Linked DNA regions of Kluyveromyces lactis. The protein of the gene in region 1 purifies or fractionates together with the protein of each later gene. This does not show direct contact. Links are inferred from orthologs where the notes say so. Each region holds a gene or a part of one and is shown in the gene's direction. Other genes may lie near its edges. The genes, in order: CDC5 and SMC3.

Evidence for each region.
Region 2: the proteins of CDC5 (region 1) and SMC3 purify together in Saccharomyces cerevisiae (affinity purification with mass spectrometry; 4 studies listed by BioGRID, with this or other methods). This does not show direct contact. The link is inferred for Kluyveromyces lactis from reciprocal best matches to the Saccharomyces cerevisiae genes CDC5 and SMC3.

Annotation. Positions count from the first base shown.
Region 1 is NC_006039.1:539,242-555,953, forward strand, and holds CDC5 (polo kinase CDC5), read left to right. Parts: upstream 1-1,167; coding exon 1,168-3,294; downstream 3,295-16,712. Other genes in the region: DNA-directed RNA polymerase II core subunit RPB11, read right to left, coding at 3,998-4,363; transcriptional regulator SIN3, read left to right, coding at 5,040-9,599; palmitoyltransferase PFA4, read right to left, coding at 9,671-10,804; ATP-dependent DNA helicase YKU70, read left to right, coding at 11,442-13,220; NGL2 (RNA exonuclease), read right to left, coding at 13,252-14,802; MRPL33 (mitochondrial 54S ribosomal protein uL30m), read left to right, coding at 15,417-15,671; KLLA0_C06292g (uncharacterized protein), read right to left, coding at 15,871-16,641. UniProt on the Saccharomyces cerevisiae protein: Protein kinase required for the cell cycle where it is involved in mitotic exit. A component of the fear (CDC14 early anaphase release) network which promotes CDC14 release from the nucleolus during early anaphase. Phosphorylates SCC1/MCD1 and NET1.
Region 2 is NC_006037.1:13,119-30,244, reverse strand, and holds SMC3 (cohesin subunit SMC3), read left to right. Parts: upstream 1-4,546; coding exon 4,547-8,221; downstream 8,222-17,126. Other genes in the region: ubiquitin-specific protease UBP7, read right to left, coding at 1-528; KLLA0_A00374g (pyridoxal 5'-phosphate synthase subunit PdxS), read right to left, coding at 1,154-2,047; KLLA0_A00352g (pyridoxal 5'-phosphate synthase subunit PdxT), read left to right, coding at 3,007-3,663; GTT1 (bifunctional glutathione transferase/peroxidase), read right to left, coding at 8,907-9,611; KLLA0_A00242g (acetate uptake transporter family protein), read left to right, coding at 11,140-11,973; KLLA0_A00220g (TspO/MBR family protein), read right to left, coding at 12,178-12,663; THI4 (thiamine thiazole synthase), read left to right, coding at 15,034-16,008. UniProt on the Saccharomyces cerevisiae protein: Involved in chromosome cohesion during cell cycle and in DNA repair. Central component of cohesin complex. The cohesin complex is required for the cohesion of sister chromatids after DNA replication.

The DNA of each region.
Region 1 (16,712 bases):
TGATCAGGACAGTGCCTCTTCTCTTACTAAAAAATAGATCAGCTTTTTCTACCGAATGCTTGAAGATTTGATTTTTCAAGAATCCAAGACATTCAACAGATATTAACCTGTAAAGGGCAGAAGTGAAAATGAAAATAGAACAACCGTAAATTTTCAAAATTGCCCCCAAAAAAAAAAAAGTCTCACGTGATCTAATATTCGGGTAAGGTAATTATTTGCTTTTTCATTAGATACTTACTTAGGAAAATGTCCTTTTAAAGAAATAAGGGTTTTTGGCACTTACCGCATTGAGTGTTTTGTTATTGTTTACATTTTGTTCATTTCCGTTGTACAGATTTGGTTAATGTCGAAAAAAATTCAATAATGTAAATAGTCGGTTTTGTGTTTTCAAAGTTGACAAAACTAGTAATTTGTCGGTTTGAATAAATTTGAAGTTACAGTAAATTGCGGTAGCTCATTGTCATTGATATTACTATTTGGGTATCCTTGTATACTGGTTTGGCTTTTATATCAGCTTAAAAGTACTGGGTTTGGTATAATATACTATTATATTGGAAGGGAAAAAAGTCAGATTCTAATATTATACAGTCTTTCTTTACATACTTCCTAAGAGCATACTTGGCATAAGAGAGGGCGGGAACTCAGTCCTTTAATTGTTACCATCTTACCTGAGACGTATCAAGTGCTTATAACAAGGGTTCTTTTGATATTAGAAGCATTTTTTTACTGCGACTGCCATAATTCAGTTGAAAGTTCGATTATTCTTAGGAATACTTACATCACTGATATTAGTTTACAAACTTGCAGGTGAAAGGAAGACTTACAGTGAGCGGAAACATCATTTAACAGTCAGAATCTTGGTTGTTGTACTCATTCTGCTGTTGTTAACCTAAATCGCTTCAGTTTTTCAACGGTGCCAGTGCTTTGACGTCGTAGATTCATTTTTTTTGATCGAGAGCCACAAAACCGTTAATTGCAAGGTATTTATTGGACGGGCCAAGGAAATACACGCAAGAAAGAAATTAGTTACTGGAGGTTGATAAGTGTAGACTATTTATCACACATTGCAGTGATATTTCTTGTATACTGGTTCGACAAGGGTGTTTGACATAACAAAAGCTCGCAGGAGTATCATTCCATCAAAGAGCTACAAAATAATCAGACATCATGTCTGCACCACCACTTCAAATCATCAACGATAAACAGCTAAATGCTCGATCGAATAATATTCATACACCGATCAAGGCTAAAAGGGTTGTTACTGAGCTGCATCATATAGATAGACTTACTACGAATGGTAAACCCACCAATAATAATAATAACAATAATAATAATAATATCAATCGTCAGCAGCCGCCTCAGAAAAAGAAGAAGGAAAAACTCTCTTCTTTATGCAAAACACCTCCATCGTTGATCAAGACTAGAGGACGGGACTACCACAGAGGACATTTCTTAGGTGAGGGAGGATTTGCTCGTTGTTTCCAAATGAAGGATGACAAGGGAAAAGTATTTGCTGCGAAGACAGTTGCTAAACTGTCTATCAAATCTGAAAAGACAAGAAGGAAATTACTATCAGAAATTCAGATCCACAAATCTATGAAACATCCCAATATCGTTCAATTTACAGACTGTTTCGAAGATGATACTAACGTTTATATCTTATTAGAGATCTGTCCAAACGGATCTGTTATGGAATTATTAAGACAAAGAAAACATTTGACGGAACCTGAAGTAAGATTCTGTATGATCCAAATCATTGGTGCCATAAGATATATGCACAGTAGAAGAGTTATTCATAGAGACTTGAAACTTGGAAATATTTTCTTCGATAAAGAGTACAACTTAAAAATCGGTGATTTCGGTCTTGCTGCTGTCTTGGCAAATGATAAAGAGCGTAAATATACCATTTGTGGTACACCTAACTATATTGCTCCAGAAGTGCTCACCGGAAAGCACACTGGTCACTCATATGAGGTTGATATTTGGTCAATTGGTGTGATGCTCTATGCATTGCTATTCGGTAAACCACCATTCCAGGCAAAAGAAGTTGAAACAATCTATGAAAGAATTAAGTGTAGAGATTTCATTTTCCCAGCTGACAAACCGGTATCCTCAGATGCTAAAAACTTGATTTCACATCTCTTACAGTTAAATCCAGCCGCCAGACCATCGTTATATGAAATAACTGATAACGTATGGTTCAGAAATACTTTCCCTTCAAGATTACCGTCTACAATAACCAAGGAGATTCCAAATTTCGATCACCTCAGTTTCAGCGAGTCATTGATTAACTTGAAACAATGTATGCTAAACTCAGGGTTACTTAAGAGCTCACAAACTCATTCTTATGATGGTAGTAAGAATCCAATTGAGTTAGTGAGAACAGAAATAGAAGAAGAAAGAAACAGAGCTGTTTTACCACAATCCTTGTCACCAGGCGGAACCAAAAATAAATATAAAGAAGTTATCGATCTTGATGGCCACAGAAAATTTAACGAGATGGCATATCAAAATCGACTGAAAAAAGCCGGAGAGAATCTATTCTTCAAGCCTGAGTTGGTGGCAACTTCAACTAACATGATTAAATCCGAAATGTCGCTGAAAATACTTGCAAGTGAATGCCACATGACACTACGAGGGATCAAGAGTGCCGAAATAGATAAGAGGCAATCAAACTATCCTTCTCCAGACTCCACCGTACAAGACCCAATCGTGGTCACAAAATGGGTAGACTATTCGAACAAACATGGATTTGCATACCAGTTATCAACTGACGATATCGGGGTGTTATTCAACAACGGAACCACAGTATTAAAGCTAGCAGATGCGGAAGAATTCTGGTATATTAACTATGATACTAAGGAAGGATGGGTTGCAAGCCATTATAAATTAGAATCTAAACCTATTGAATTAACAAGACACCTTGAAGTGGTCGATTTTTTCTCAAATTACATGAACTCCAATTTGAGTAGAATTTCTACGCTGGTCCGTGAAACTTATCATAAAGATGATGTGTTCTTGAGAAGATACACCCGTTATAAACAGTTTGTTATGTTTGAGTTGAGTGATGGTACTTTCCAATTCAACTTCAAGGATCACAATAAATTTGCATTGTCACATGGAGGTAAATTCTTAACATTTATTTCATCTGATCGTAAAACGATAACGTTACTGCTTTCGAGTGTTCTAATAGATGGATGTGTACCAGGATTCCCTTCTATTGATATATTCGAGAAACTAGAACTAATGAAGGAGGGCTTGAGAGATAAAGCAAGTGTTCTAACAATACATTAGGTAGGGATGTCATTGTGATAATATGCAATTTGCATTTGAATGTCTTCATCTGGTTGTACAAGCCAGCATGTATGGCTACGTCCATCAAGCGCCTTTATGTATTTTTTTCGCATTCCTGCATCCAACGATTTATACCAAATGATACCAGCTATTCCTGATCGTTGTGTTCCCCCGATTGCAACTTCTAAAACTGCCATCCATTCTGTATCAAAATATCTTCACCTGTCAGATTTCATTGTTTCATTAGTTAATTTTGAATCTGTGATGAAATAAGCCTGGGGCTGCCAGAATAAATTTGTTTAATTTAACATAAATTAATAATTGAATCTTAACATGATCCCTCACCAGAAAAACTGTATCTTAAAAGTAACAACAAATGTATACAAGTTAGAAAGATGTGAAGATATCAAAATTCGAATATCTTGTTCCTTCCAAGGTTTTTTTATTGCAAACAAGGTCACTATTCTGTACTGATAATACCCAAAAAACCCAAAAGAAATAGTCCTATACACAATGAACGTTGAACTTTACGGTGGATAGTAATACGCTCTCCTATTTTATAGCCGAAACACAACACAGTTCATGAAAATAATACATAGAAGGGAAGAGGGGATAGAGAAAAACCGAAGGAGGTTCAATAATTCTTTTGAAAAGATGAATTACCTGACACTTGTTTAATACACTTGAGCAATTTCCAACACTATTACATACCATAATCCTCAGTAGCCAACGTTTGCAAATTCCATTCTGTTTCGAAGTTAGACTGCAGCTGAGCCAACTTATTGATAATGCTATTACATGCGTTCTTCAACGCATCCTTCGGATCGTATCCTTCCACAGTCTGAATTCTCATTTTAAACTTGGCAAATAACGGATGCTCTACCTTATAAGCTGCAAAAAGAACTCCTTCATCTTCTAAAAGTTCGGCTCTAATCAAATTCCCTAGAGTGTGGTCTTCTTTCTCAAACGTTACTATAATAGCACTGGATGCCTTGGTATCTTGCTCTACTTTAAGCTTCGACTCACCTTCCGGTAGTAAAAAAAGTTCAAATCTATCTGGAGCATTCATATCGTTACTCTATATTATCTAGCGGAGCCACTGATTGAATCTGTCACTGGATTGCGCTGCCTTCTCCTGCCAAACCCACACAATGTTGTCTATGGTCACTTTAAAGTTCTGTTGTGAATTTTTCATGTTGAGAAGCGAACTGCAATCAGAATCAGTGAATGAAAAGTGGTTACCCTCAGGCACGTGATATTGAATCTGACCCGAAATGTCGACAGTTCCCAAGACCAAAAAAAAAAAAAAAAAAAAAAAATTCAAAATGGAAAGATTCAAAAAAACATATAAATTGAAATTTAACATTTGAACTCTTTAAAGTATGTATTTAGAGTGGAAATTAAATGCGGTTGCAGAATCTAAAGGGGAACGAGACAAGACATAACCTTCTCTGTGCGATATCAAGGGCGGATAATCGAGTAATTGCTTTGAGCTTATACCAGTACTTTGAGTATCTAGTTCATAGTCTAAGGAGTACACCATTGTTCACGACGTGTTTTTTGGTCCTGTTCCTTTTTTTTTATTGTTTTCTTTATCAATCATCGAGATTTGATTCTGATTAAGGAACTTATCTAACTGCTCTGAGGTACGACCACGATTAGCGCTGCTATCATCTATTCTTTGATCGTGTTATCTAACGCATCGTATTAGTACAAAATTTGGCAATCGTGCTCGAGGGTAAAAGATGTCGGCGCCATGGAACCAACAACCGGATGGTCCACAACAACAACAGCAGCAGCAGCAGCAACAAATTCCACCATCGACTGGAATGATTAATGGTGTGCAAGGTCAAAGTGAGAACAGTCCAAATCTGTTACCTCAGCTCGCGCCTCCCGCCGTTAACATCCAGATAAAACCGGAACATGATCAACAACAACATCACGTGACCCTACCATCGATTTCTACTATTAGTGGATCAAATCAGCCCTCCCAGGGTCAAGGACAGGAACAGGTACAAGGCCAGCAAAACGCACGTTCTCATTCCCATTCACATTCGCATGTGCACCCTCACATCCACGGACCATTGTCTGGTGTTTCTAACCGAATGGATAACATCAATTTACAGAATGGAGGAACTCCTATCAATTCTGCCGCCGGGAGTAACGGTCCTGTCTCAACGAATAGCGAGGGCGCCATCCCTACTCCATCAATTAACAATATCGTTCAACAACCAGATATTACGCATCAACAGCAACAACAGCAATTACTTCAGGGGCACAATGTCCAGGTGGAAAATGCTATGACAGTGGGACAGGATCCACTGCAACAAGCTCAGTATTCTTCATATAGGCCCTTGAACGTCAAGGATGCTTTATCGTATTTGGAACAGGTTAAATTTCAATTCAGCTCTAGACCGGATGTCTACAACCACTTCTTGGACATTATGAAGGACTTCAAATCTCAGGCTATCGATACTCCTGGAGTAATTCAACGAGTAACGACTCTTTTCCAAGGATTCCCGAACTTGATTCAAGGTTTCAATACTTTTCTTCCTCATGGGTATAAAATCGAATGTTCTACCAACCCAAACGATCCAATCAAAGTTACCACACCGTTCGGAACTACCGGTGAAGTTTCTGCTGGACCACCTACACAATATCAATTAGCACCCGTAGCTGGCCAAAATGTTGAAAACCAAAATATTGAAATGCAGCAGCAGGTCTCTCAACCTCAATTCAATAATGGGGATCAAATTCAACATCAGCAGTTGCAGGATCAGTTGCAGAATCAATCTGCAACCTCGGCTGCAATGCTTGTTTCGCAACCACAATCACAGACCCAACCTCAACAATTACATTCACAACAGTCTCCTCAGCAACAAGGTCAGCCACCACAGAGACAAGCTCAACAACAGCCTCAACCGCCACAGTTAGAGAATCAATTTGTCAATCAAAAAATTGTTGCAGCTGGTGGTGGAATGCTTGGTGCTTTACCTGGACAGCAAAAGACAGGCGAAGTAGAATTTTCTCATGCCATAAGCTATGTCAACAAAATCAAAACTAGGTTTGCTGACCAGCCTGATATCTATAAACAATTCTTGGAAATCTTACAAACCTACCAGAGGGAACAGAAACCAATTCATGAGGTTTATGCTCAAGTAACGATCCTTTTCCAAAATAACCCTGATCTCTTGGACGATTTTAAGAAATTTTTGCCGGACTCTTCTGTTTCACAGCAACAACAAGAACAACAACAAGAACCACAGCAACAACAACAAGATCAGCAACAGGAACACCAACAAGATCAGGAGCAGCAACATCATGAGCAAAAACAGCAACCGTTACCGCAAGATCAAAATCAGCAAGCAATGCTCCCACCCCAACCTTACTTACAACAAAATCAATCTATGCAGGGACAAGGATTCTATCCACAATCTGGAGTGTTAATGCAGCCGACGAACCTTCCTCCATTAGGAAATTTTTCTGCTTCAGGCCAAGCATCGCCGGCTGAAAATAGTCATATGCTACCATCTATGCACCAGCACATTGCAGGTGGGCACGTGATACCTCAACATGTTGTGACACAAGGTATGTCCAACCAGGATATTCCTGTATCTGAAATGAGATCAACCATGAATGGCACTTATAATCAAGTAGAGTACATTCAGGGTGCCCCAGGTTATCCTCAACCACTTGAAGGTGTGCAATACATGGAAGCTCCTATGGCTAGACCTGAAATTGACTTGGACCCAAGTCTTGTACCCGTCGTACCAGAACCAATACAACCTCCTGAAGATGCCATTGCATTAGGTGATGAAGTGACGTTCTTTGAAAGAGTGAAAAGGTTTATTGGAAACAAGCAAGTTTACGCTGAGTTTTTGAAAATTCTTAATTTGTACTCACAAGATCTTCTAACAACCTCTGAATTGGTCTCGAAGGTGGAATTCTATTTGCATAGCTCTAAAGAACTTTTCGATTGGTTCAAAAGTTTTGTTGGCTACCAAGAAAAACCCAAACATATCGAAAATATAGTACATGAAAAACATAGATTGGACTTGGACCTCTGCGAAGCATGCGGCCCAAGTTATAAAAAATTGCCAAAAGACGATACCTTCATGCCATGCTCTGGAAGAGACGAAATGTGCTGGGAGGTTTTGAATGATGAATGGGTGGGTCATCCAGTGTGGGCGTCAGAGGACTCTGGGTTCATTGCTCATCGGAAGAATCAATATGAGGACACACTCTTCAAGGTAGAAGAAGAAAGGCACGAATATGATTTCTACATCGAGTCCAATTTAAGAACAATTCAAACCTTGGAAACGATTGCTAATAAAATTGCAAACATGACCAACGAGGAAAAGAACAATTTCAAGCTTCCTCCTGGATTGGGTCATACTTCCCTAACAATTTATAAGAAAGTCGTTAGAAAAGTATACGATAAAGACAGAGGTTTTGAGATTATTGACGCCTTACACGAGCACCCAGCTGTCACAGTGCCCATTGTTTTGAAAAGATTAAAGCAAAAGGATGAAGAATGGAGAAGAGCTCAGAGAGAGTGGAATAAGGTCTGGAGAGAACTTGAGCAAAAGGTTTACTATAAATCGTTGGACCATTTAGGGTTGACCTTTAAACAAGCCGACAAGAAATTGTTGACTACCAAACAACTACTATCTGAAATTAGCAGCATAAAGGTTGATCAAACCAATAAAAGAATACATCCATTGACACCTAAACCAAAGAGTCAGTTAGATTTTGAGATAAATGACCGTGAAGTTTTGTATGATATTTTGGATTTGGTGTTTACGTTCGTTAAGACTAATGCATCCTATTCCAATTCGGATAAGATCAAATTGGATCATTTTTTCAAGGCGTTCATATCTCTATTCTTTTCGTATCCAATCAAAGATGTTAATGAAGCTGTATCTGAACGCTCTTCAATAACTGACCAAGAAAATGGAGAAGAAGATTCTAATAAAAGCGATTCAGAAAAATCTAATAAGAGAACATTATCTGATGAAGACTCTTATCTGATGAAAGACATTTTGCGTAGGACGAAGAATGCAAAAACCTCGAATTCCGAAGAGAATCAAAATAGCTCTTCCGTAAAATCGAATGAAGAAGATGAGACTGAACTCTTGGCCAAAGAGGCAGCCAAACCTTGGTTACTCGGAAGCCTTATTGATGAAGCCAATAATAGTGGGATAGTATCCGATCGACACATTTTCAATCTCTTCACTAACACAACCATTTATGTTTTCTTCCGTCACTTGAACACTCTCTATGAACGGTTATTAGAAGTCAAGAAAATAGATGCTGAGGTTACTGATGAGATTAAAAACAGGAAAATTGTACAATTTGCCAGCGATTTAAATCTAATTTCGACACAATTGGCTGACATGGGTCTAGCTTTCAAAGACACTAAAGCTTATGGTGAGTTGTTAAGACTTTCGAAAAGATTGATAACTGGTGATTTAGATCATCAATGGTTCGAAGAGAGTTTACGTCAAGCGTACAAGAATAAGGCGTTCAAAATCTACACCATCGACAAAGTCGTCCAGTCACTAGTGAAACATGCCCATAGTATCATAACGGATCCAAAAAATGCCATGGTGATGGTTTTGTTTGAACAAGACAGACTAAAAAGGGATACCACTGCAAAGGATCAGATTTTGTATAGATTGAAGGTCAGGAACACCATGGGAGAATCTGAGAATATGTTCCGTATTGAATACAATACCGACAGCTCACATGTATCAATCCAATACGTTGCCGTGGACGATTTGACATTAAAAGAGCCTCAAAACATGAAAGAAAAATGGGATTACTATGTCACGTCTTATTCATTGTCTCATCCTACCGAAGGGATAACACAGGAAGATATCAGCCAACCCTTCCTTGGGAAAATCATCGAAAAAGAAGCGGAATATCTTGATGATGAGGAACAGAATGACAAGTTCTCACCAGAAGGGGTCTCTCAATCCAAGCTCAAAGTTAACATACACCCAGAAACTTATGAACTAACTTTCGAATGTGGTTCAACTGATGTGTTCACCAGAAAATCTGTTAATAAGTTCCCAAGCTCCCAAAGCACTCAACCGGCATCAAAAATGGATAAATTCTTGAATAGTTCTAAGGGTTGGAAGAAAAACTTGAGCACTGAGATAATTGGACGCGCAGAGTCCAAAATGAAAATTTTGAAGGAACAAGGTAAATTAGAAATTGACCAAACACTGACAATTACTGCAAAAATTGAAGAACCAAACGAACCAATCTCTAAGGAAGATGTTCCTGAAAAAGCTGTGTAGTTTTTGCATACACGATTGTAAAATAAACAAATTCATGTTATATAATGCAGTTATATAGTAGTAATATTACCCTATTCAAGTTCAGTATCTACTCCGAAATCGGATAGGTCTTCTCCCCAATCGTTATACCAGGAATTCCGCCCTAACCTATCCCTGAGATCTACGGATTTATCTCTTATTACTTGTTCACCTCCAGAAACTATCGTCTCGATTGATGATCCTGATCCTAAAGCCCGGGAATGATGTGTCAAACCATCAGGAGGCCAAGGTAAAGACATAAGCATATCCTCTATAGATGAATTTGGATCATAGAAAAAAAGTTCGTTCTTGGCGAATGATGTCCCTATAGTTGGCGGCTTGGACCACGGCCACAACCAAAGATACCAAGGACCCATTGCATTGTTAATATTGGTCCATGGGTTGACGTCATATGGGAAGTTGGTGAAATCTTCTTGATTCACATATCTTTTTGAGAGTAATTTATTAATTTCGTGCTGCTTGGCGGGAAGTATTTCGGGCCTTCGCTCCACCAAACGGTCTATAACTTGAGCCAAAAGCCTGTTCTTGTAATGTAAACTTTGAATTCTGTCCATCTCCCAGGATTCAATTTGTGTCATACCATGCAAACATTGGTTATAAATACACCTTCCTAGTAGTGAAGAAACTGTGAGCAATACAAATGCATCCATAGGAGTCATAATGCAGATAAAAATGATCTCTGATGTAGACCTATGATGAAAAGCCGTATGCCTTATGGACCAAAGTAGATAGATTCTTCCAATAAGGAGAAATAATAGGTAAGCAGTAGAGAAAATGACCCAGAATAAGAAGCGCATAAAATGGGGAAAGTTGCTGTGTCCAACACAATTGAGCGTCCAAGGACAATGGTGGTCCATTGCTAATACGCATTGATTACAGGTTTTACAATGATGGGCCCTTTCAGGCTTGTAAACCCGACACTTTTTACAGTAATTATGCCATTCTTCCGCAGACGGCTTAAAATCCTTTGGCGGTATACCTGGGTTGGTATAAATGGCCAAATAGTATGAAACCCAAATCATAGTTTGACATGTTTGATAGAATATTTGCTCATTCCATGAAAGAAAGTTCGAAAGAATGAAGTAATGAGATCCATACCCAATCAATGCAACAAGAAATGCAGGTATTGCAACGCCCAGCCACCGATTTTTCAATTTTATAGCCATATCGGTCACTGGATTATGATGCTCTTTTTGAACAAAAATGATCCCAGCGGTTGAGTGTTTGGTAACAATCCTGGTTCGCAGAAGATGTTTCAATAATATTTTCTTATTGGGGTTGAGGATTGCGGTAAAGATAAGGCTAGACGAGACTGATACCAGAATTAAAACTTGATTCTCAAACCCTTTAATAGCAGTCGTTTATGTAGATAACGTATCTGCCTGTAAGAGATATACATCCCATTGAATCTTTCATATCAAAACTGTATTATTTCGAACTAAATTTCAATGCTCTTGAACGTAGGGATATGACATAGAAGAATATATAAGTAAGTTTAAATTCATGATCCAAATCGTTAGCTCAGAATTAACGGACAATGCCATCCTGAACTACTATCACAGCTCTATTGCTAAAATCTATTCCCGGAACTAGCGAGCATGCTCAAAGTAAAAGTCATTCACGATCACGTGAATGGTGATAATTCTAAAATCAGGGACGAGATCCTTCATAGATAACCAAAGTAAATGAAGGATTCAAGGTTTAGGTTAAAATGAAAAGGGTTAGTGTAACCTTCACAGAACTGAAGATCTAAAAAGTGGGTTACTACGTCAGTTTTCGATAGAAAATTCCATTGCACCTAAGATGTCTTTCGAACAACCTGACTTTTTAAAGAGTCAATTGACTCAAACAAGAGACGATGATAAAGAAAGTGATCACAAGAAATGGAGACGCTACGAAGCACATGATGGTATCGTGTTTTGTATTCAGCTAACACCCACGATGTATCTTTCAAACCCTGATCTTGGAGGCAAAATTCAACTCTTAGAGATTTTAGATTCACTAAATGATTTAATGTCACAATTGGTAGTTGTTATGCCAAGTACTGCAGTTGGCTGTTATATTTACAACTGTTCTCATCCTAACGCTGAAGATAATGTGTATGAACTAATACCGTTACGTGATGTGAACTATAAGAATATGAAACGTGTATCTGATCTGTTGGAAGATATAGAACAGGATAGAATACTTCTCAAAGATGAGATTCCTATCGCAGACCCAAACAACCCAATTGAACTTTCTCCAGTATTGATCAAAGTTAGAGAAACATTTTTACAACCGATAGAAGGACAGAAGCAACTGACTAACAAGAAAATATTTTTTTTTACTGATGACGACAAACCGGCTGAGTTCTTGAACGTTGACAGCAGATCTCGTCTTAGAAAAGTTGTCGACGATTTATATGACTATTATATCAATTTTGTCACATTTTTCATTGGTTCTGAAGATAAACCATTTGACGATTCTATGTATGCAGATATCTTGAAATGGGGTTCAAAGATCAACGAAGCACAATCATGGCTATCCTCACACGGCCCTAGTACTAATCCCATTAATGCATCGTACATAAAATCGAAAGTGAAAAGAACAAAGGAAATCAAGAGAATCAAATTCCGATGCCCCTTGATGTTAGATGAAAGAGCTGATTTGGTAGTTTCAGTGAATGGATATACTATTGTCTCTCATGAGATACCCGGCTCGAAATACAAGCTTGTATATGCCAACGGTAGTGTCAGAAGAGAGGCATACTCTCACCGAGAATATTTAGACGCTGAAACTGGGGAAGCAGTTGATAATAGTCAGTTGTCTAAGGTCTACACTTTTGGCGATGAGATCATAGAATTAACAGAAGACGAGAATCTCAAAATTCAAAGCGGATACAGCGAACATGAATCATTTTTGAAGTTAATAGGATTCAGGTCAACGGAACAGTGTTTACACTATTATGACAACATTGACGTACCAGCTTTTGTTGTACCGAACGAGGAAGACTATGCAGGCTCGATCAAGACACTAGCATCACTATATAGAACAATGTTATTCAAAAAGAAGTCTGCAATGGTCTGGGGAAAACTACGGCCAAACTCTCCACCATCCATGTTTGTCCTAACACCAAGCTCCAAGAAAGATTATAACCAAGGTTTCTATCTCTACAAGGTTCCATTTATGGAAGAGGTCCGAAAACTTCCTGATTTCTTAAATCATTCTGCGTTAATAGAATCAGATGATTATAAAGTGATGAGCAAAGTGACAGAAACTTTGATAAACTTCTTCAATCTCAAAAATGGGTATAGACCATCAGATTTTCATAACCCTGCATTACAAAAGCATTTCAAAATATTAAGGGAATACCTTTTACAGATTGAGGTGGATAAATCGAAACCTGAAGATGAAGGTGATGAAACCCTTCAAAAGGTGAAGCAGATTTATGCACGAATTGCCAGTTCTGCGAAATCTGATGACGTAAAGCAACAACGGTTAGTAAAATACCTGAAACTTTGGAATTCTTTCTACAACCGTCTGAGTAACTTAGAAGTCGATACGAAACCCACCAAAAATAAGAAAGCAAAGCTTAATCTGTAGTGTAGTCCATAGTTAAACAGTTTATGAATATTTACATTATGATTCCCAGTTTAACAATCATGCACAAATGATCACTAGGATATTCACCTTCATGAGGTTGTCCATGCTCTGTCATTTCCTTGGCGGGAGGTATTCTTAGAAGCTCAAGAACTTGAACTCCATAATTTTGCTCAAATGTTGATAGCTCATCTATCTTAGTACAATCGCATCCATCCCATGATGTAACATAATACAAGTAGTCTAACAAACCTCTCCATGCATGTGCCCAATTAGATATTTCAGGTTCATTACGCTTGTTGTCCAATCCTGAGTTTTCAGGATGAACTTTCGAGTAAGCAATTGAATACAAGGATATAGCGCGCATGTCAATGTCATTATGAAGGGTTTTCATGTTCTCACATAACTGCTTTTGCTCTTCGTTGCCGGAAAAAGATTCTGGCACGGGGGTCTCAGGTTGACCTTTACCAAATTTTTCAATGTTGCCGCCTTCTTCTCCTTCTCCTTCATCCCCATCTCTTAGTTTAGAGAAGGTAAATGAAGTGCTGCACTCTATAACTGTTTTAGCCCTTCCGGTATATTCCACTGGTTTTGATGTGATGGACAAATATGGGGCATCAAACGGCTGAGAATTGAAATCGCCACAGAAAAATGCTGGCCAATGTGAATTATCACCGTCTTTTTCGTTTTGAAGAACGTTGATTCGATTCTGGAATTCTTTTACTTTTTTTAGTACAATATAGCATTGTCTTGTCCGTTCATATGTGCCAAATGGATGCCAAAACAAATGTGTGGTACCAATAATTATACCACTGACTTTGGTGTCTGGATATTTTTCTAGCACTTTCTTTTTAAACTTCAAAGAAAGCAACATGCCAACATTTTTGGTAGTTGTTCTTGGTTCAATGGCACCTGTTGTTTCTTTGTCGTAGTCAATTAACATCTTATCTGTCATATCAAATAGATCTTCTTTCCAAGCAATTAATACTCCGTGGTTTTTGGTAGGATTAAAATGGAATTGACACATGTAACCTAGTTTTGTGAACTCCATTTTCCAGAAAGACTTGTATTGAACCGTGTCAATTTCTTGCAAACACAGTACGTCAACATTGTAATATTTGAATTCATTGAGTAAAACTTGAGATCTTTTAAACCATTTAACAGCATTTCCGCTCGTAGGAAACAGTGTTCTTCTAATCAAAGCTTGGGCAAGACAATTATACGTCATTATACTGATTGGACATACCTCTCTCGTCGATTGGCCTGATGAATCTCGAGGAACAGCTAACATCGGCCTTTTGATAAATCTAAGGTCTGCGGGCAATTTTGGATCTATACCTTGAGCAATAAGAGCCTCTTTTTTTGCTATTTTCGCAGCTTCTCTCTTAGCTCGCATCTCAGCGATATACTCTGGAGTGATCTCATTCAAGGCCTTGCCTTTTTTCTTACTTTTCTTGTCCTTTACTTTATTCTTACCTTCTACCTTCAACTGGTCCATCCCATCAGTAATCGATAGCTTTTTTGCTTGTTCCACAAGCTCTTTTGGAACGTCTTTGACGCCGGTGTCTTGCGTACTACCAGCCATATTGGCTCAAATTATTACTTCTACTTTGCAGTGTATAGTGGCGATATAAACCTTAGAGAGATCTAACCAACCATGGCGTTAAGAGCTTGTTAATATGATATATATATATATTATTCAATCGGGCATAAATATTGGAAAAAAAGAAATGACATATATATATATATATATATACATAACCAAGCAAATGCCCCTCCTAAGACAATTTCAATGCAACTTCATATTCAGGAAGAAATATTCAAACAGCGAGATATAATCTTGAGATCTTTATATGCAATTCCTGGTTCTTTCTCAGTAGGTAGCACTTTCCTGCGACGGTTTGTGAGAAGTGCCCAAATGACATACGCGATGAGCTGCTAGACAATATACATCACATGATATCACTTTATACGTTTTGATGCTATTTGAAAAATCAATGTACGTTGGCTATTAATGGTTTGAATACCCAGTTAATCTCTTCGATAATGATGCACAAGATCTCTTAAAAGAGCGTTTTTTTTTGACATAGTTCTCTATATTGTCAACGAAACTTACGACCGAGGAAATTATACTTCATTACTGGTATTAGCGAACGGTTTCTAAAAGCATAGCTATCATAATAATTTTCAAAGATAGCCATGGTTTTCTACAGAATTACATTACAGAGGTCAGTCATTGGTACTCCACAGAAGACTAGGGCAGTGGTCAAGAGTTTAGGACTCGGAAAAAGAGGATCTGTCGCATATCAACCAGCTACACCATCTATTGCAGGTGCTGTCGCTCAGATAAAGGAGCTTGTGAGCGTTGAGCTTGCCGATAAAGCTTTAAGTAAGGCAGAACAGCGTGAGCTAAGAAAATCAAATCCTGGATTTACTGTCGAAAAGAGAGTATAGAAAGGATCATACCAGACAATATAACAAACAAAGCAATGTACCAGAAACATTTAACAGAGAAGAAACTGGGCTCACAATGAACATCTTCTGTTTTACATAAAGAAAAGGATATTAGGATTTTCATGTATATAGAGATCAAAGAAATATTAATCTTATTCTAATGAGGTATTTGAGAGTATCATATACCAAACGTCTTTATTTAGAAGACACCGGTGACTTCTCTGGTGAGAATATTCCTAGGCTGTTTCACGTATTCGTCGTCACCATCTTCACCATATTCATCATCGTCAAATGCCACCGAGAACGAATCTACAATTCTGAAGATATCATTTTTATTCATAGCTTTTCCATCAAAACTTAGTTCTATACTGTCATTTGCCGAAAAGAATTGATTTTCTTGAGCCAGCAATTGATCAACTCTATTGTACAAATGTTTTGTTTTAGGTCTTTGTGGTAACCTTTGAACACTCATATTCTGGGAGATATATTTGCTCAAAACAGCTGGTAAAGCGTCCAATGTGGTATAACCGAATCTATTGTCATTACAAAGTTTGAATGCTTCAGCTGATTCATGGGTTTCGTTGATCAACTTTGTTATCACGGGAGAAATTTCCATGTCTGATTTACTTGATATTGGAACATCTATCTTGTAAATGATCTTAGAACTTTGCATTGTATGATACTCTAGTTTTACATTGATCTTTGGAGTATCGTAGTTCAAGTTCTTACTTGGTGGCTGTGAAATTCGATTGAATTGCCCAAAAGTATTTGATGTGTCTACATCGGCGATGTTTTGAACTTCTAATATTGGAGGAGACGACGATATGTGCTGTTTGTTTGGAGACTGCCGAGTTCCAGAACCATTCTTAAATTTGAATTTAGTACCCTTCGTCTTACTTGAAGTATCGTTGAATATATGCGTGGTGTTGCGAATGCTAGAACGATTTGATAAACGTCTTCCCTCTGTCATCGTTCACTCTACTATAGTCTCGGAATTTCAAACGGGGTCACCCAGTAGTCCTTTAGAAAGCAACTATATAT
Region 2 (17,126 bases), on another chromosome or scaffold:
GGTTGATGCGAAGGATTTATAATCGTCGTCAACAGATTTTTGATCCGCATTATTCAACTGCAAATTATGTAATTGGTACCTTATGATCGGTTCTTCCACCGAGAAAGCACGTTTCCTGGATGGGTCAAGGTGTTGCTTTGCGAGTATCTCCATGTTCTGATTGAGTACAGAATCAACTTTGTGCAGAACCATTAACAAAACATTCGACATGTTCAACTCATCTTGATATAGTTTCTTCAAATCAGAGTAAATGCTGTACGACTTGTTTCTAGCACTAAACTGTACAGATCCGGGAATGATTAGAAAGACATAGAAGGATCCAATCACATATTCGCACAAGCAATCTTCATATTTCTCAACGGATAAGGATTCACGATATGACTCAAATAAAGACTCAGCTTGTTCCAAAAGTTCTATAAGCTTTTCCAACTTAAGTTTTGCATAGTAATGTTTCACATCTTGGCTATACACTTCTTGCACGAATGACAGAAGTTCATCCGAATACTCCGGTGTGTACAGTCGCGACATAGATCGGATATAAAGTAAGATCTGCTTTTATCAAAGATTTCTCGGTATGCGAGCAAACAACAATGTCTTCTATTGACTCTTATTTTGCCCAGAACAGAATTAGGAATCGAAACATATAAGAGATGTTAGGTAGCAAAGTTTTCTTGCATTGTGTAGATCATATGAAGTATCCCTTTATTCATGTGATCAAAGCATCCTTTTCTATATTCATAAAATAATATTTTCTTGAACTTGAATTTGCCGTGCACTGACTTTCTATTTTTGGTGGGAAATTCGTAGATGTCGGTACATTATCTCAACAAAAAAAAAAAACTGATTAGTTCATGGAGGCAGTACTTTGAATTAAACATGGGCTATGTAAGAGTCATATACTCCTGAAAGTCCTGGTTCATCTTAATTCGACTATTCCTTTGTATTTTACGCAATTCGTTATCGTTATTAAGTATTTGCCTGAAAAATGGTATACAGCTTCTCTCGTTAATCAGGTTGTGACTCCTAAATTGTAAAGCTGATACTCTCTTGTTTGATAAGTTGTTAACAAAGCAGCATTATAAAATCAATATAAACTTTTGTTCGTCTTTACTTGAATATGTAAAAATACCTATCGCTGTATACTGTTTCGTAACTACCAGCCGATGTTTGCCAACCTTTTAGGGTTTTCGGAGTTCTTCAAGGATTCTATTGACAATCCACCCATTAGGTCACCCAAATCAGTTGACACTTTCAACAAAGTTTCTGCATCATCGTAATGGGTAGTAGCTTCCACAATTGCACGAGCTAGCTTTTCTGGGTCAGAAGATTTGAAGATACCTGACCCGACAAATACACCTTCACAACCCAATTGCATTAATAAAGCGGCATCGGCAGGAGTGGCAACACCACCGGCAGCAAAGTTCACAACTGGTAACTTCCCGTTATCCAAAACATACTTTAGTAACTCATAAGAAACACCAATAGATTCAGCGCGTTGCTTAATGAAATCTGTGTCATCACCGAGAGTATCTTGATATTCCTTAATTTCAGATTTAATCTTTTTGATATGCTTAACTGCTTCAGAAACATCACCAGTACCAGCTTCACCCTTGGTACGGATCATTGCTGCACCTTCTTCTATTCTTCTAAGTGCTTCACCGAGATCTTTTGCACCGCAAACAAATGGTACATTGAAATCGTTCTTCTTGATATGTCCTTTCCAGTCAGCAGGAGTCAAAACCTCACTTTCGTCAATGTAATCAATTTCTAAAGCTTGAAGGATTTGTGCTTCTACGAAATGGCCAATTCTAACCTTTGCCATAACTGGGATACTGACGCTGTTCATGATCTCTTTTATCATTTTTGGATCTGACATACGACACACTTTTCCTGATTTACGCATATCAGCAGGAATTTGCTCCAAGGCCATAACTGCACAGGCACCTGCCTTCTCAGCAATTATGGCTTGTTCAGCAGTGACAACATCCATTATCACCCCTCCCTTCAACATTTGAGCCAATCCACTTTTAACTTTGAAATCTGCCATATCTTAATATTCCTTAATACGTCTTTGTCGCTGTAATGATACTGCCAACAGCTTCCGTCAAGAAAAGAACGACAATAACCTAAACAAAAACTGAAAGCTTCCTTATAGTGAAGTACATTTCTTGCACAAGGCTATACTTATATACATCCAAATAACGGCGGAGCTCGCCATAGATAGACACAAGTGCTGAAGATTTCCCTGTTTAACATTGGAAGGATTCTCAAGTCTACACCTCGGGTTTGGAGTTTTGTTACAGTTTTTATTTCTGCCATGCTAAGGATTACCACCCAATAAGGCATGTGAATGCCATTGCCCACCATCACTGTGGGGCAGTTCGGATTTCGTGCAGATATTCACTCACGAACTGCGCAGTTTTGAATGCCTTTTAGACCTTTTTTCTCGGTACCTTTCGGTAAAAAGTAACAAAAATTGATCATAAAAGGAAGGCCCTTTACAGTTTGACTCATTCAAGTCAGATGCGAGATACTTACTTTAGAGGGATGAATCATCCATGCGAACAGAAAATCATTCAGGGTGCTTGGATCTCTCATCGAATGGCAATTCTGGGCAGCGTTCAAGTCAAATATCGTACTCTTAACGGCATCATATTAATTGCATACTGCTACGCCTTGTAAAGACCTTGTACATGATATAACCCATTGATGTTCTTTTACATAATCTATCTCGACTTAGAATATTCGTTTCACAGATACATACCATTAAGGAGGAAAGTAATAGATTGCTCGCCATTCCATATCGGTAATCATGCCGGTTGAAATTAAAAAGGCCATTCGATTATTATTTGCGTGCTTGGTATAAATTATAGAAGTGTCTAGCCCGTAGCATACATATATGATCTGGTCTTTTTTATCTATAAATTCTTGATAATCCGTCAAGCCTATTTTTTTCTTTATTCGATTTCCATTTGAATTTCAATTTACACCGTTTTTTGCCTTTTCATGGTTCTTTATGACACTGTGACGATGATGACAAAGCGTATTGGCGTATTAGCTCTACAAGGAGCGTTTGCAGAACACATTGCCCTTTTGAATAAAGCCATTGAAGATAATAAACATGATATAGAAGTAATAACAGTTAAGACTGCTCCACAGCTTTCCTCCTGTGATTCTTTAATTATACCTGGTGGTGAATCTACGACAATCTCGCTAATTGCGAAAAGAACAGGACTTTTTGATTCCTTGATTGAATTCGTTCACGACCCCACTAAAACGGTGTGGGGGACCTGTGCTGGATTGATTTTTTTAGCTAAACAACTCAGCAATGAGTCGAGCTTGGTAAATTCGCTCGACCTGTTAAAGGTAAAGGTGAGAAGAAATGCGTTTGGTCGTCAGGCTGAATCGTTCATCGAAACATGTGACTTTTCTTCATTTATTCCTGATTGCACAGGTTTCCAAGTCTACTTCATTAGAGCCCCAATTATAGAAGAGATATTATCTCAGGATGATGTAGAGACATTGTACACTTTAAAAGATGGATCAATAGTGGCAGTCAGTCAACAAGGACGCATTCTAGGAACGTCTTTCCATCCAGAATTGTCCGATAATGATGCCAGATTCCACAACTATTTTATTCAGAAATTTGTTCTAAACAATTGATGCAAATAAATATCTATCGTTTGTATGTATTAAGTCTGAATAAACGCTGAATTCAGAACGAAATTCTTTTATCCAATTCGCCCCTTTGCGTCATTAATTATTCAATAATAAATGCGTTTAAGAAAAAAAGAAAAAATTGACACTGACGGGATTCGAACCCGTGTCACTCCCTCGCCTATGATCCTGAAGATCATTGTTATGGAAGGGGAGTATCCTAAACCACTAGACTACAGTGTCCAATGCCTGTTCAGTGTTGGAGCAGATTCTCAATATACCTTATTGTTGATGTGGCTGGTATTTCCAGTCACGTGCTGTTAAATTAAGATCTTTGGTATCTGATGAATCCATAGCGTTTATTAGCTATATATCCAGTAGTGTATGTTGATGCACCTGGGGATCTGGCATGACTGTATTGATGGTCCTTGTCCAGATCTAATGCCTCCTTATATAATAATTCAGATTAGTTAATGATATTTCATTCCGAAACACCCGTTATGTATCATCTTGATACTTAACCGCCTATTACATTGGTAGTTACCCGATCATAGTTTATGATCCATTTAAACACTTACATCGGAAAGCAGCTAACTTCGTATCAAGCCTTAGTAAAGACGAGCGTACATTGGATCCATTTAAATACTTTGAACATTTCGAAGAAGGAAGCTTACCGTTGCATTTAAGTTAGCATGTTAGGGTAACGAGTTGAAATTTGTTTATGTTATACACTGTCTATGAAACGCGTCCTTCTTTAATAAAAAAAAATGAATATCATAAACACATACAAAATTATACAAAACAAGTTAAGTTTACGCGTCCTGTATCAGAAAGCTCTAGGAATAAGAGTAATTACAAGGGCAAGAAGACAGACTACAACACTGTTGAAATGGTTCACATCAAAACTGTTATAATCAGTGGCTTCAAGACTTACAAGAATCGGACCGTGGTGGAGAATTTTTCACCCCATCACAATGTTGTTGTCGGTTCCAACGGTTCTGGTAAGTCGAACTTCTTTGCAGCTATTAGGTTCGTCTTAAGCGAAGAGAATTCAAACTTAAAACGTGAAGATAGGAAGGGTTTTATCTACCAAGGTGCAGGGCAAGTAATGAGTGCATTCGTTGAAATTATCTTTGATGATCCTGAGAACTTAATGCTTGCACCGTTAAGAAACGATACTGGAGAGGTCAGAATTAGAAGGACAGTGGGATTGAAGAAGGATGAATACATGATTAATGACAAGAACTCAACAAGACAAGACGTTAGAAGAGTTTTAGAAAATGTAGGATTTTCAACTTCGAATCCTTACAACATTGTTCCGCAAGGGCGAATAATATCCTTGACCAACGCGAAAGATTTAGAACGGCTGCATCTATTAGAGGACGTTGTAGGTGCAAAATCATTCGAAAACAAACTGAAAGAGTCTTTGAAAAAGATGGAGGCAGCAGAGAGAGATAGAACGAAAATCACTAATGAATTAAACGAACTTGACAAACGGTTGAGCGAATTGTCCGATGAAAAGGAAGAATTGGAAAAGTACAACAATCTAAATAGAGATCGAAAAGTTTTACAGTTTTGCTTATACGATAGGGAATTGAACGATATTACGAACCAAATTGAACAACTTGAAGGTGAGTACAATTCAATTATTGAAAATTCTTCTGAGTATGTTAACGAATTGGAAAAAAGAGAAGTGCTTGCAGTAGAGCTCAACAAGAGAATGAATTCTTTAGAAAGTGAGATTAAAATAAAACAGTCTACTGATCTACCACAGTTAAAGGCATCGAAGCTAGAAGTTGCTGGGGAATTGGCGGATTTAGACACTAGGTTAAACGATATTCAAATGCAATTGGATGCTTCACAAGCGCATTTGGAATCAAATGTCAAAGAAATCGGAGAAGTAAAGAAACAAATTGAGATTAACTGCTCGTCAATTGCCGAGGTACAACCAAAATTCCAAAAACTATCAAATGAAGCAGAAATCTTAAAAGTAGAAATCGAGAAACTCACAAAGAGGCAAAGAGAATTATTATCAAAAAAAGGGAAGTATGAAGATTTTCGTACGGTAAACGAAAGAAATGACTGGATCCAAGAACAAATTAACTTATTAAACCAGTCGCTGAATAAATCTAATATATTAAAAGATCAACTGACTAGCCAACTTAGTACACTACAGCATGATTTAGAGAATTTAAATGCTGAAATTGAAGACCTAGCCGATTCAGTAAATGGAATGGGATCTGTTGCTCAGCAGGAAGACTTGCAAAATAAAGTAACACAAGCCAAGAAGGAATATTTGACGAAAATCGATCAAAGAAAACAGCTATGGAGAACTGAACAAAGACTACAAACAATTTCCACCTCTCTCGATAATGATGTCAAAAGGTTTGAGTCAGATATGAATGAAACAATTGATCGTTCTTTAGCACTTGGTCTACAAAATGTCAATGACATTGTTAATAGGTTAAATTTACATGAGCATGTTTTTGGCCCTGTAGGCGAGTTGATAAAGGTAAGCGATAAATACAAAATATGTGCAGAAGTCGTGGGAGGCAACTCCCTTTTCAATGTTGTTGTTGACAATGAAGAGACCGCAAGTTTATTAATTAAGGAATTGTTTGCAACGAAAGGTGGAAGGGTAACATTTATTCCTCTCAATAAGTTGCATGTGGATACCAACTTTACGTATCCAAATAACTTGGAGAAAAATCAATGTACACCTCTAATCAAAAAGATCAAGTATGACGTGAAATTTGAGAAAGTGATCAAGCAGGTTTTTGGCCGAACTCTTGTCGTTAAATCCTTGATTGATGGTGCTTCCCTTGCCAAAGAATACAAACTAAATGCTATAACTTTAGACGGTGATCGTGCAGACAGTAAAGGTGTTTTATCTGGTGGTTACTTGGATCAGTACAAGAGTAATAGACTGGATACTTTACGAGACTTCAAACAATCGAAAAGAGAATATAAAAAAATTCAAGTAGAGCTTCAAGAGATTAAACAGGCGCTCCAGAGTATCGAACAGGAAATTGATGGCCTAAACAATGTTGTTAAGGATGCTGCAGCAGAGAGAGATGCGTATGAAGCAGGCATAGAAAAGGCTAGGAGTCAGTTGAAAGCAAAGCTGTCTCAGAAAATTACGATTGATGACTCTATAAAAGCTTTGAAGGCGAGACTAAACAAAATCGATACGGAGCTTGAACAATGTAGAGAACGTACAAATGCCTTTGCTGCGGATATATCTAAACCATTTGTTAATGAACTAGATGCAGATGAAAAAGCCGAGTTACTTGCTATATCCAATAGCATTCAAACGAAAGAAACGTCTTTGAATTTCAATTTGTCAACTTTGAATGAACTTTCTTCTAAGTTAGACGAGCTCAACGCTGAATTAAATTCAAAGCTACTTCCTAAGTTACATGAGCTGGAGCGAAAGCCCTCTTCTTCACACAGTTTACAAATCAGTCAGATCAACAACCAAATGGAACTTGTTCTGATGGAGAAACAAACTGTGACAAGGACAAAAGAACAAGTAGAATCTGAATTATCAGTACTAGACAGCAGTATCAAATCCCTTAGAGGAGAGAAAGCAACCCTTCAAAAGGATTTAGATAAAGCCAACTCACAACAACGATCACTAGTCAAAAGGATTACGAACTTTCAGAAGAATGCAGAAAAAGTTTTATTGAAAAAGTCAACTCTGAACTCAAGAAAGGAGGAATTGCAACAATTGATTAGGGAGGTAGGGCTATTAGCAGAAGAATCCTTAAAAAAATATAAACCACTTGCTAGTGATGAAATTCTCAAGAAATTGAACACTACTACCGGGCATTTATCAAAAATGACTAATGTAAACAAGCGAGCATCTGAAAATTACACCAGGTTTGAAGATAAGAGAGGCGAGCTCACTTCAAGAGCTGAAGAACTAGATGAATCAAAGCAGTCTATTGAAAATTTGATTGACCAATTGAAGGAACAGAAGATCACTGCTATAGAAAAAACCTTCAATAAAGTCGCTGACAACTTCAGTCGTGTCTTTGCGACTTTGGTCCCCAGAGGAATTGGCAAGTTAATTATCAATCATCGTAAAAACACAGATAACTCGGAAGTATCAACTAAAAAACGTAGAAGAGGGGCCAGGCAGGAACAAAACTCAGCAGAGGCATTGAATGAGAGCAAATATACAGGAGTTTCAATTCAAGTGTCCTTCAACTCGAAGAAAGATGAACAGTTGCGTGTGGAACAATTATCTGGCGGTCAAAAAACTGTTTGTGCTATTGCCTTAATACTTGCAATCCAAATGGTTGACCCTGCTCCTTTCTATCTGTTTGATGAAATTGATGCCGCTTTGGACAAGCAATATCGGATAGCTGTGGCAAGAACCATCAAAAACCTCTCTGACACAGCTCAATTTATTTGTACGACATTCAGGACAGATATGATCAATGTTGCAGACACATTCTTCAGAGTGAAGTTTGAAAATAAAGTCTCCACCGTCACGGAGGTGTCTAGACAAGATGCAGTGAATTTTAGCAGAGGTAATAATAAAATGGAAGAGCTGTGATATTGTTTACTATTCAATGCAGATATAGCTATATAAGTAATGCACAATATAATTGGTTTTTTATCATATGTGAAAACTATTGCAATATGATGCCATTAGCCTTTACATTTACGACCTTACGCCGATTATACTACGTTTTGTAGAGTCAAACCTTATCGATGCAGTTTCCTAGTTGAGACCATAAATACTTTGAGTTTCACCTCAATATAATCTCGTTCTGAGGATACATATTGGAATTTCTGTGCATAAAATCCAGTTCGTTTATGATACTAGCTATGTCTGAAGATGTATATATATATATATACATATGGTTTGCAATCATAGGGAAGTGGGGTTTTGAACGCATCTGTTGAGACTCTTGCTTTCATGCGCCAGTTCTTTCAGTAGAACTCTCTCTTGCCTGAAAGAGCTTAGTACAGTAACACTAGTTACCGCATTTGTAGGTTCCAAATATAACCTGAAACCTCGTATTTTTCGATTTTTTATCATTATCCAAGGATGGCGCTTGTTAAACCACTTTATCCATTGTCAGATAGAAAACATTAAATGATGCTATGGCAATACGGAGTTATATAGTAGAGAAAACTTGTTGTGCGCTCTCAATTGTCTTTCAGGACAAAAGTTCGAATCAGCAGATAACTTGAGATCAGAACGTGCACCATCGCTTGTATGTAAGGAACCATTTTTAGAATGAGGCGCCATTCGCTTTGGCTTTGTCTTTTGAAGTTGAGTAAGACTCTTCCCTTTTGATAGTCTCCAACCACTTTGCTATATTTGGATACTCTTCGGTTCTGGCGAATTGCCTCTCGAAAGCCATTTCCAAGGGGAACGATAATAAAATGTCAGCAGCACTGAGTTTACCTCCGACCAAGTATCCGTCATTTTGCTCAATTTCGGTCTCAATGAAATCTAGCTGGTTTTTCACCTCTCCCCGAGAATACTTTTCACTGATTTTGTCGGCGAATTTCTTGGTAATGTAAGAGAAGGGGAATGGCACAGGAGCCTCTTTAGCCTTTGAAAGGAGGAATTCAATGAATAAAGGTGGTTGAAGCGAACCTTCAGCGTAGTGTAGATAATATTTGATCTTTTCGGCCTTCTGTTGATCTGCATTGTTAAGAATTCCTTCCTTGTCGAAATTTTCTAAAATATACTGGAAAATATAACCCGATTCCGCAAGGATATCCTTTCTGTCAGAACTCTTATAATCTATCTCCAAAATTGGTGCTCTACCCAATGGATGGATCTTCTTTAATTCCTCTGGTGCTCTAAATTGTTCATTTCTTTTGTAGGGAACGATTTCATAGTCGAGTTTCAAATGATCTAACAACCATAGAACCCTGAAGGCCCTCGATTGGTTTAGCCAATGGACTTTAATAACGTTTGTGCTCATTTCAGACTATGTGGGATGCGTGTATCTGAGTAACTTTTAACTAGACAGCGTTTTTTGGAAATTAATCATAAAGTGCGATGCATTTAATATTTGTTTTCTTTTAAGGAACATGTTATCATCTTAGCAAAATCATCGATTATAGTGAGCAAAGATGATTGCTTTCTTTTTTTAGCCCCCCTTTGCTATTTTGCCCGACTGGGAGCAGGACACAATTTGAAGTAATCACGTGACTTACAAAGGATATAGAGTACTGAGGAAGAAAAGCGAACACACCGCCGATTTGCTATCAAATGGAAACGGGCTTCATTCTGATGTTGTGCGGCTGCGACCTCGAAAATAAGCCATCAAAAAGTGATTACTACCGTACGAGGTTTGAATCGGCTATAATGACAGAAAGTCAACCCGCATAATCCCACACACTTTTTTGTTTGTCCATACATATATATGTGTTCTTTTAGTTGCGAATGATTCTCAGCTCACGTGACTTTCGTTGTTCCCCGTAAAAAAAAATATTAACTTCATTGCTGATAATCCCTGTTTGCTTTGCACCCTTTGTACTGTGTCGTAAAACTTCCCGTCTGTCCTATAATTCTTCCGAATTTGCGTGGGACTATTTTCAGCGCCCCGCTCTTGAAAGAAAAATGGGCAGAACGGGAACTGGAAGGGGACACAGAATTATCCCTAATCGTCATCGGTTCCGGTTCTTACCTTTTTTTTTTAATTTTCCTACCCTCTCAATTTCCCAAACCGGCTGGTATGTTGGCTTTTCTGGAACAGCCAATCACCTCAGCAAAGTAAGGCTGGCAAGGAAATAGGCAAAATTTGTTGGTCACCTCAGTAACAACGTTGTAGCCCAATTCTCAGGATTTGAACCGTGATCACAGCCTGTTGTAAAGGCTCGTTTGCAGTTTAGCGGGTTATTCTGATGCTGCTTTGTAATCATACGGCTATTGTTATTGAAGCTCATCCCGTCGCTATAAATTTCTTTCGAGCAGTAGTAGAGTTCGGCACTTGTAAAAGATCGGAAGATACGAAACGGACTTGATTCAAAAACCAGAGGGGTAATTCCTATTTGGGATTCGAAGTCCACAAACTCCGACAATTTCTTGAGTTACCATGCTATAATTCTGGGATGATCAATAATGATTGAAAAGAAAGCGGTTGACAGAAAGAACTTTCGGTACAGAAACTCAGTGCGCGATACAACGGAGAGGGTTAAACAAGGAGTGTTCGTGAGGAGAAATGCACTGTAACTTGCTTGCGATATAAGCATGAAATGCTGACGTTAAGACTTAAGATGGCATATGGTTTGAGACTTGAAAGCGTATATAAAGACATAATGTGCTGAAGTTCCGTCATTCTATACATTAAGAACAGAATGAATGAATAACTCTTGGATACAACAGCAATAGAGAGCTCCAGTTCAATATTTAGTACTTTTGGGATTATCCATCTTCACTGACCTTCCAGTACAAAATATTCGCGTGAGACATACTTTCAAAGACCAAAAGAAACAAAAGAGAATATAATGTCAGACCAGTCCCTAAATGAAAAATCGGGGGATCATTTCGAGAATCAGATGCGTATGGCAAACCACGATCCATCAGAATCTTCTGCGTACGATGATTTGGAATTGCAAAAGATTCATACTGGCGGTGACAATCACGAATTCGTTTTCATCGGTCGTCAAAAGTTCTTGAAGGAAGATTTATTTACTGCTTTTGGTGGTACCTTGAACCCTGGGCTAGCGCCACCTTCAACACATAAATTCGCTAATCCTGCCCCATTAGGGTTATCGGCTTTTGCTTTGACTACATTCGTACTTTCAATGTTCAATGCCAGGGCAATGGGAATCACGATACCGAATGTTGTTGTCGGTTCAGCCGCATTTTATGGCGGTTTGGTTCAGCTAATTGCAGGGATTTGGGAAATAGCGTTGGAAAACACATTTGGTGGTACTGCACTAAGTTCATTTGGTGGATTTTGGATGTCATTTTCTGCGTTATACATCCCATTCTTCGGTGTAGCCGATGCCTATAAAGAACACCCAGAACAGTTCTCTTCTGCAGTGGGATTCTTTTTGCTAGGATGGGCAATCTTCACTGCTGGTATGACGGTGTGTACAATGAAATCTACTGTTGCATTCTTCTCGTTGTTCTTCTTTTTGACTATTACTTTCCTTCTTCTATCTATTGGTGAATTTGCACAGAATACCAACGTCACAAGGGCAGGTGGTGTCGTTGGTGTAATAGTCGCTTTCATTGCCTGGTACGACGCATTCGCAGGTGTCGCTACGAAAGAAAACTCATATGTCACTGTGCGTCCTTTACCTTTACCTAAACCCCATCACACATTGTTTTGATCTTGCCTTAGATACATCTGATTTCATTATAGCATTGATTGCAGCTAACTGGAAATGTGTACATTTAAAAAATCAAGATTCAGTATTTATTCATATATTTACTCATATATCTACTCATTCAGGATGACACGGAAGTCTTGCTACGATTTTCTGCAAATCGGCCGTCGTACCAAACATGGGTAGAATTGAAAAGAATACTTGCATTCAACGGTTTAACCACCAAATACTAGCATTGAGCACAGTTGCATAACTTACCCAAGATAAGTATGGGACCATAAGCCACCCAGCAGTAGGGTCGACAAGTGTGAACACCGACCATGTTTTGTAAATAGAAAACCATAACGCAGTTACTTCAATTAGTCCAAGACCCGGTGATTTGAGACCAAAGAAGAGATAGCTCCAGAGCATGTTTAAACCAAATTGAACAGCAAAATGTTTGAGGCCTGTTGCTGCTAGTTTATTACCCTTACTAGCGTGTGACCATACTATACCAGCAGCAATACCCATGACCAAATACAAGGATGACCAAGCAATTGGGAAAAGCTTGTTTGGTGGTGTAAACCATGGTTTAATGAGAGTAGGGTACCATGTGTTAACGCTGGTTCTGGTCACCAAACCTGATGAGTATCCAAATGAAAGTGTTGTTGCAACAGATGCGAGGATCTTGACAGGGCTATATAGTTCAAACATATTGTCTTGGCTCAGTTTTGCTTTAGGATTTCTGAGAAAGAATAGACTCTTAGCGTTAGCTTAAGAGGCAACCTTAGAATGATCAAGTGACGTGTTGAAAGGTAGAATGGGAATACTAAAAACCTAAAAAAAAAAGGGTTTAGTTGGAAAACGATAAAAAAAAACAACTCATGCGATACGTAGGATCGCTTGTTTTCGTTGAAGAAGCATCATCATCAAAAAGATATATCTCATTACGATATGCCAACGCCGATTTTGTATCTTGACAAGCTCTAAATTTCTCGTAAGACTTGTCATGATAATTAATTTGCGATCTGATCTTGATGAACGGTGGTTTGAATCTGTTTACAACGTTGATCTTCACTAAATAAGTAAGTTAAGTAAGTAATCTTAATGAAAAGAATATAAGTGTGAATGGTGATATAATTTCTTCTAGTAACGGCACGTATATTACTCGCGGGGTATTATTTCAAGCAGCATTTATCAAACAAAGAACTTATGATTCTTGAGTTTTGAGAGACGAGGTACAAAAAGGCAAAAATTAAGCATTCTTGAACAAAATTTCATCATCCTAAGCTATAAATGAATGCTCTGATAGGATAGCATAGCAGAAGCAAAAGGGTATGTACTAGTACTTGAATGATGGACTGGTAAAAACGTACTTATTTGATGCATATTAAGAAACTTGGACATGTCTGTTCTCATGACCAGCACTGCATGTCTTCCGTTCATAGGGTTCAAAGATAAGATCTACGGTTTTGCTTTTGCAATTCACCTTAGCAGCATATGACTATATCTACAACGTTTCCTTCGAGCGATGCTGGTATGTTCAGCCTGAAAAGTAGGTACAACCTTGTTTAAACTTAAGGAGCCTACATTATACCTATAATCTGATATGCCTCACTGTTTTAATATTTTTTAGACTTTATTGTTGACGAATGATATTATGGGTATGCGCTGAGGTCAAAAAAACAATGCAATACAATGAACGACATCGTAAAAAAGACCCCTTTGGTAAGTATTCTAAGGAAGAGAACCAACCGCCCAAAGCCGGTGACACTTCACAATCTCTCAAATATTAGAATTTCAAGTCACAGGCTTATGCATTTTAACTGGCAAAGTATTGTCTTCACTTAAATAACCAAAACGTGATTTATTTCTAGTTGGATGTCGAAACAGCCAACCCAAAATGTCTCAAACCGTTGGACACTCTATTGTGAATCAATGCGTGCCTTTCCCACCTAGAGTACCAAAAAATAAAAGTAATTCTTGATTCATAGAAGTTGGCATGTCAGTGCCAATTCTAAGGATAGGATAACCGAATTTGATCTGGTGGATAGTTCCAATCGCCTTTCACGTATCTATGTACTGAAAATGAAGGAAGAAAGGCTACCACATCTTAACACGAAATAAATTCAAACAACTCTTTCAATGGACCGGAAATGTAGATTTCAATTCAGAAATCTTGTACTACTGCGTCATCTATCTTGGGCTACCTGTATCTCTTTCCAACCAAGTTTACTTTTTGCACCCTAAACTGACGTTTTTTCGCCAACGATGAGCTAAAAACCTTCGTTTTCGGTTCATACCTCAAATTGCAAATAATGGCAGCCAATGAGGTCTTCTATCGACAAACGCCAGACCATACACACAGGTATATGTTAATTTACGATGCTCTCGTCAGCAATTATGTCCCTTAAGGAAATTGTGTGGGATGCAGGTAATGTTGGAAAAGAACAAAAAAAAAACTGTCGCCTGTTCTAAGAGTTACTCTGGAAAACAGTATTTTTTTTATATGCAGCGATAGAAAGGGTAGAAATTCAACTAAAGGCCAAGAGTTAATACTCACAAAAAGGACAAAATCTACTGAGCGATCAACTGATGTGTTAAAGAGAACGTTTGGGGGCATTTTTCTTTTGGAAACGAACGATTATCTTTCCCGTTTACTCTCGATTTGGTAATCAGCCAATTTTCATGGAACCTTGGCGGATATCTCTATCACTGTTAACAAGATATTCCTAACTGACGCTTATTCGTATAATAACGGAGTAAGGGTACAGACATTAAGGAAATTAGTTTTAACAGTAAAAAAAAAAAAGGCAAAGTAATATGGTATGGAATGCTAACAGGTTCATGTCCAACCAACGTTGTGGGTGACGATAAGCCTCGTGAAACCACGGTCTTTGTTCGAAGTTTAAGAGGCAGTGAGCATTCTAGTTAGAGAACTAAAATTATAAAAAGGCCCACTCTTTCAACCTTTTCCCTTTTAACCTTCTGGTATTATATTTGTGTTATATCAATGATTCTCGCTGTAGAACAGTAGCAGCTAAATTCAAAGGATACTTTACAAGTAGCAACAACAGAACAAAAATGTCTACCACCCAAACTCAAACTCAAAACAAACTATCAGTCCAATCTCAAAGTGTCGAACACTGTTTGTCTGATGTTGTCAAACAAGACGACTGGTCAGACTTTGCATTTGCTCCAATTAGGGAAGCAACTGTTTCTCGTGCAATGACCTCTCGTTATTTCAAAGATTTGGACAAGTTCGCCGTATCCGATGTTGTTATCATTGGTGCAGGTTCAAGTGGTCTATCTGCTGCATACGTCATTGCTAAGAACAGACCTGACTTGAAAATTGCCATTATTGAAGCCAACGTTGCTCCAGGTGGTGGATGTTGGTTAGGAGGTCAATTGTTCTCTGCCATGATCATGCGTAAACCAGCAGACAAATTCTTGGACGAATTGAACATTCCATATGAAGATGAGGGTCATTACGTTGTTGTTAAACACGCTGCTTTGTTCATGTCTACTGTATTGAGTGAAGTATTGAAGTTCCCTAACGTGAAGATGTTCAATGCTACTGCAGTTGAAGATCTTGTCACCAGACCAGCCGATGATAATTCTCAGCACGTCAACGTCGCTGGTGTTGTTACTAACTGGACTCTAGTCACTCAAAATCACGACACCCAATCTTGTATGGATCCAAACGTCATCGAATTGTCTGGTTACAAGGATAATGGCGAAAGGGATTTATCACAGAAGCATGGTGTTATCTTGTCTTGTTGTGGTCACGATGGTCCATTTGGTGCTTTCACTGTTAAACGTATGGCTTCCATCGATTCCTCTAAGTCCTACGCTGGTATGAAGGGTTTGGACATGAACAGAGCTGAAGACGCTGTTGTTAAGAACGCTGGTGCATACGATAAGGTTGGTTCAGTTTACTTTGCTGGTATGGAAGTTGCTGAACATGCTGGTTTGAATAGAATGGGTCCAACTTTCGGTGCTATGGCTGTTAGTGGTATCAAGGCTGCTGAAGATATCTTGAAGCACTTTGCTGCTTGATTGAATCAAGGGGATTTTTACCTCAATTTTTTACTTAGTGTCTAGTTTTATATAGCTTTTTATCGACACACTTTATGACTGCTAATGGCCTCTGAACATTTCTTCCATGAAATCACAAGGAAATGTTTAATAAATACTTCAGCATACCAATTGGGGAGCTATCAATTTTGCTGTTTCGAAGGGAATTTTTCAGACTTCTAAAGATTTTGTCGCATAATAATCAGCCAGCTACAAGTTTAATGTACCGAGTCACTCCATGGTACCTTCTATGAACAAAAACACAAAAAGCAGACGTTACTATACCGATCAGTTATTAAAAATATATCTTATACAAAGAGGAACGAATGCATAAAACCTTACTAAATAAAGTGCTTTTCATGTCAGTACTTTCCCTCAACAAGCATTTTAGTTCCGGCAGAAATATTTTGTTGAAAACTTCTACTGCATAGTAGACCGTATTGTTAATTAGTGATGAAACGAAAAAGTATCTGAGTGTTGTCATAAAACGAGAGCGCTAATAAGAAGAAAATCTTATGAAAATTGAACATGAATAACAATGTCTGGTTACTTAATTTTTAAAACGTTTGTTGTTAATGGTGGTGTAAGGGAACTTCCAAGGCCATTCATGGAATCATTGCTTACCGTTAAGCTGAACCTGTGCCGAACTTGGATCAAGATCGCAGCGTTCGGCGATTGAGAAGCTAATTCAAAATTATATAAGTAGAAGGTTTCCTCAACCAATTTCCCCATTGGATCTGACATCATATTTAGTGTTGTTCTACATTAATGTGTCCGCCTGACAGAAGAAACTAAGGAGAACATTATAAATAATATGCTTAATAAGTCAAACTCCTACCACAAATTCTGAATATCATCCATTCCCACATAGCAGGATTCAATGTAGCGTAATTGGCATCATGACTAAGCTGGCTGTTTCAAGGTTCCTTCATTGCGTTACCAAAGAAGCACGTGATTTTAATGTTTATTGCGTCGATATATGATAAAATTTATGCATAAACATCACGCATGAGAGTAAATAACAAGCCACAGAAGGAATAATAAGGGATTAACCGAGACTGTGTAGCTTGTGTTAAATCACCAGAAAAGATGTTCGAAAC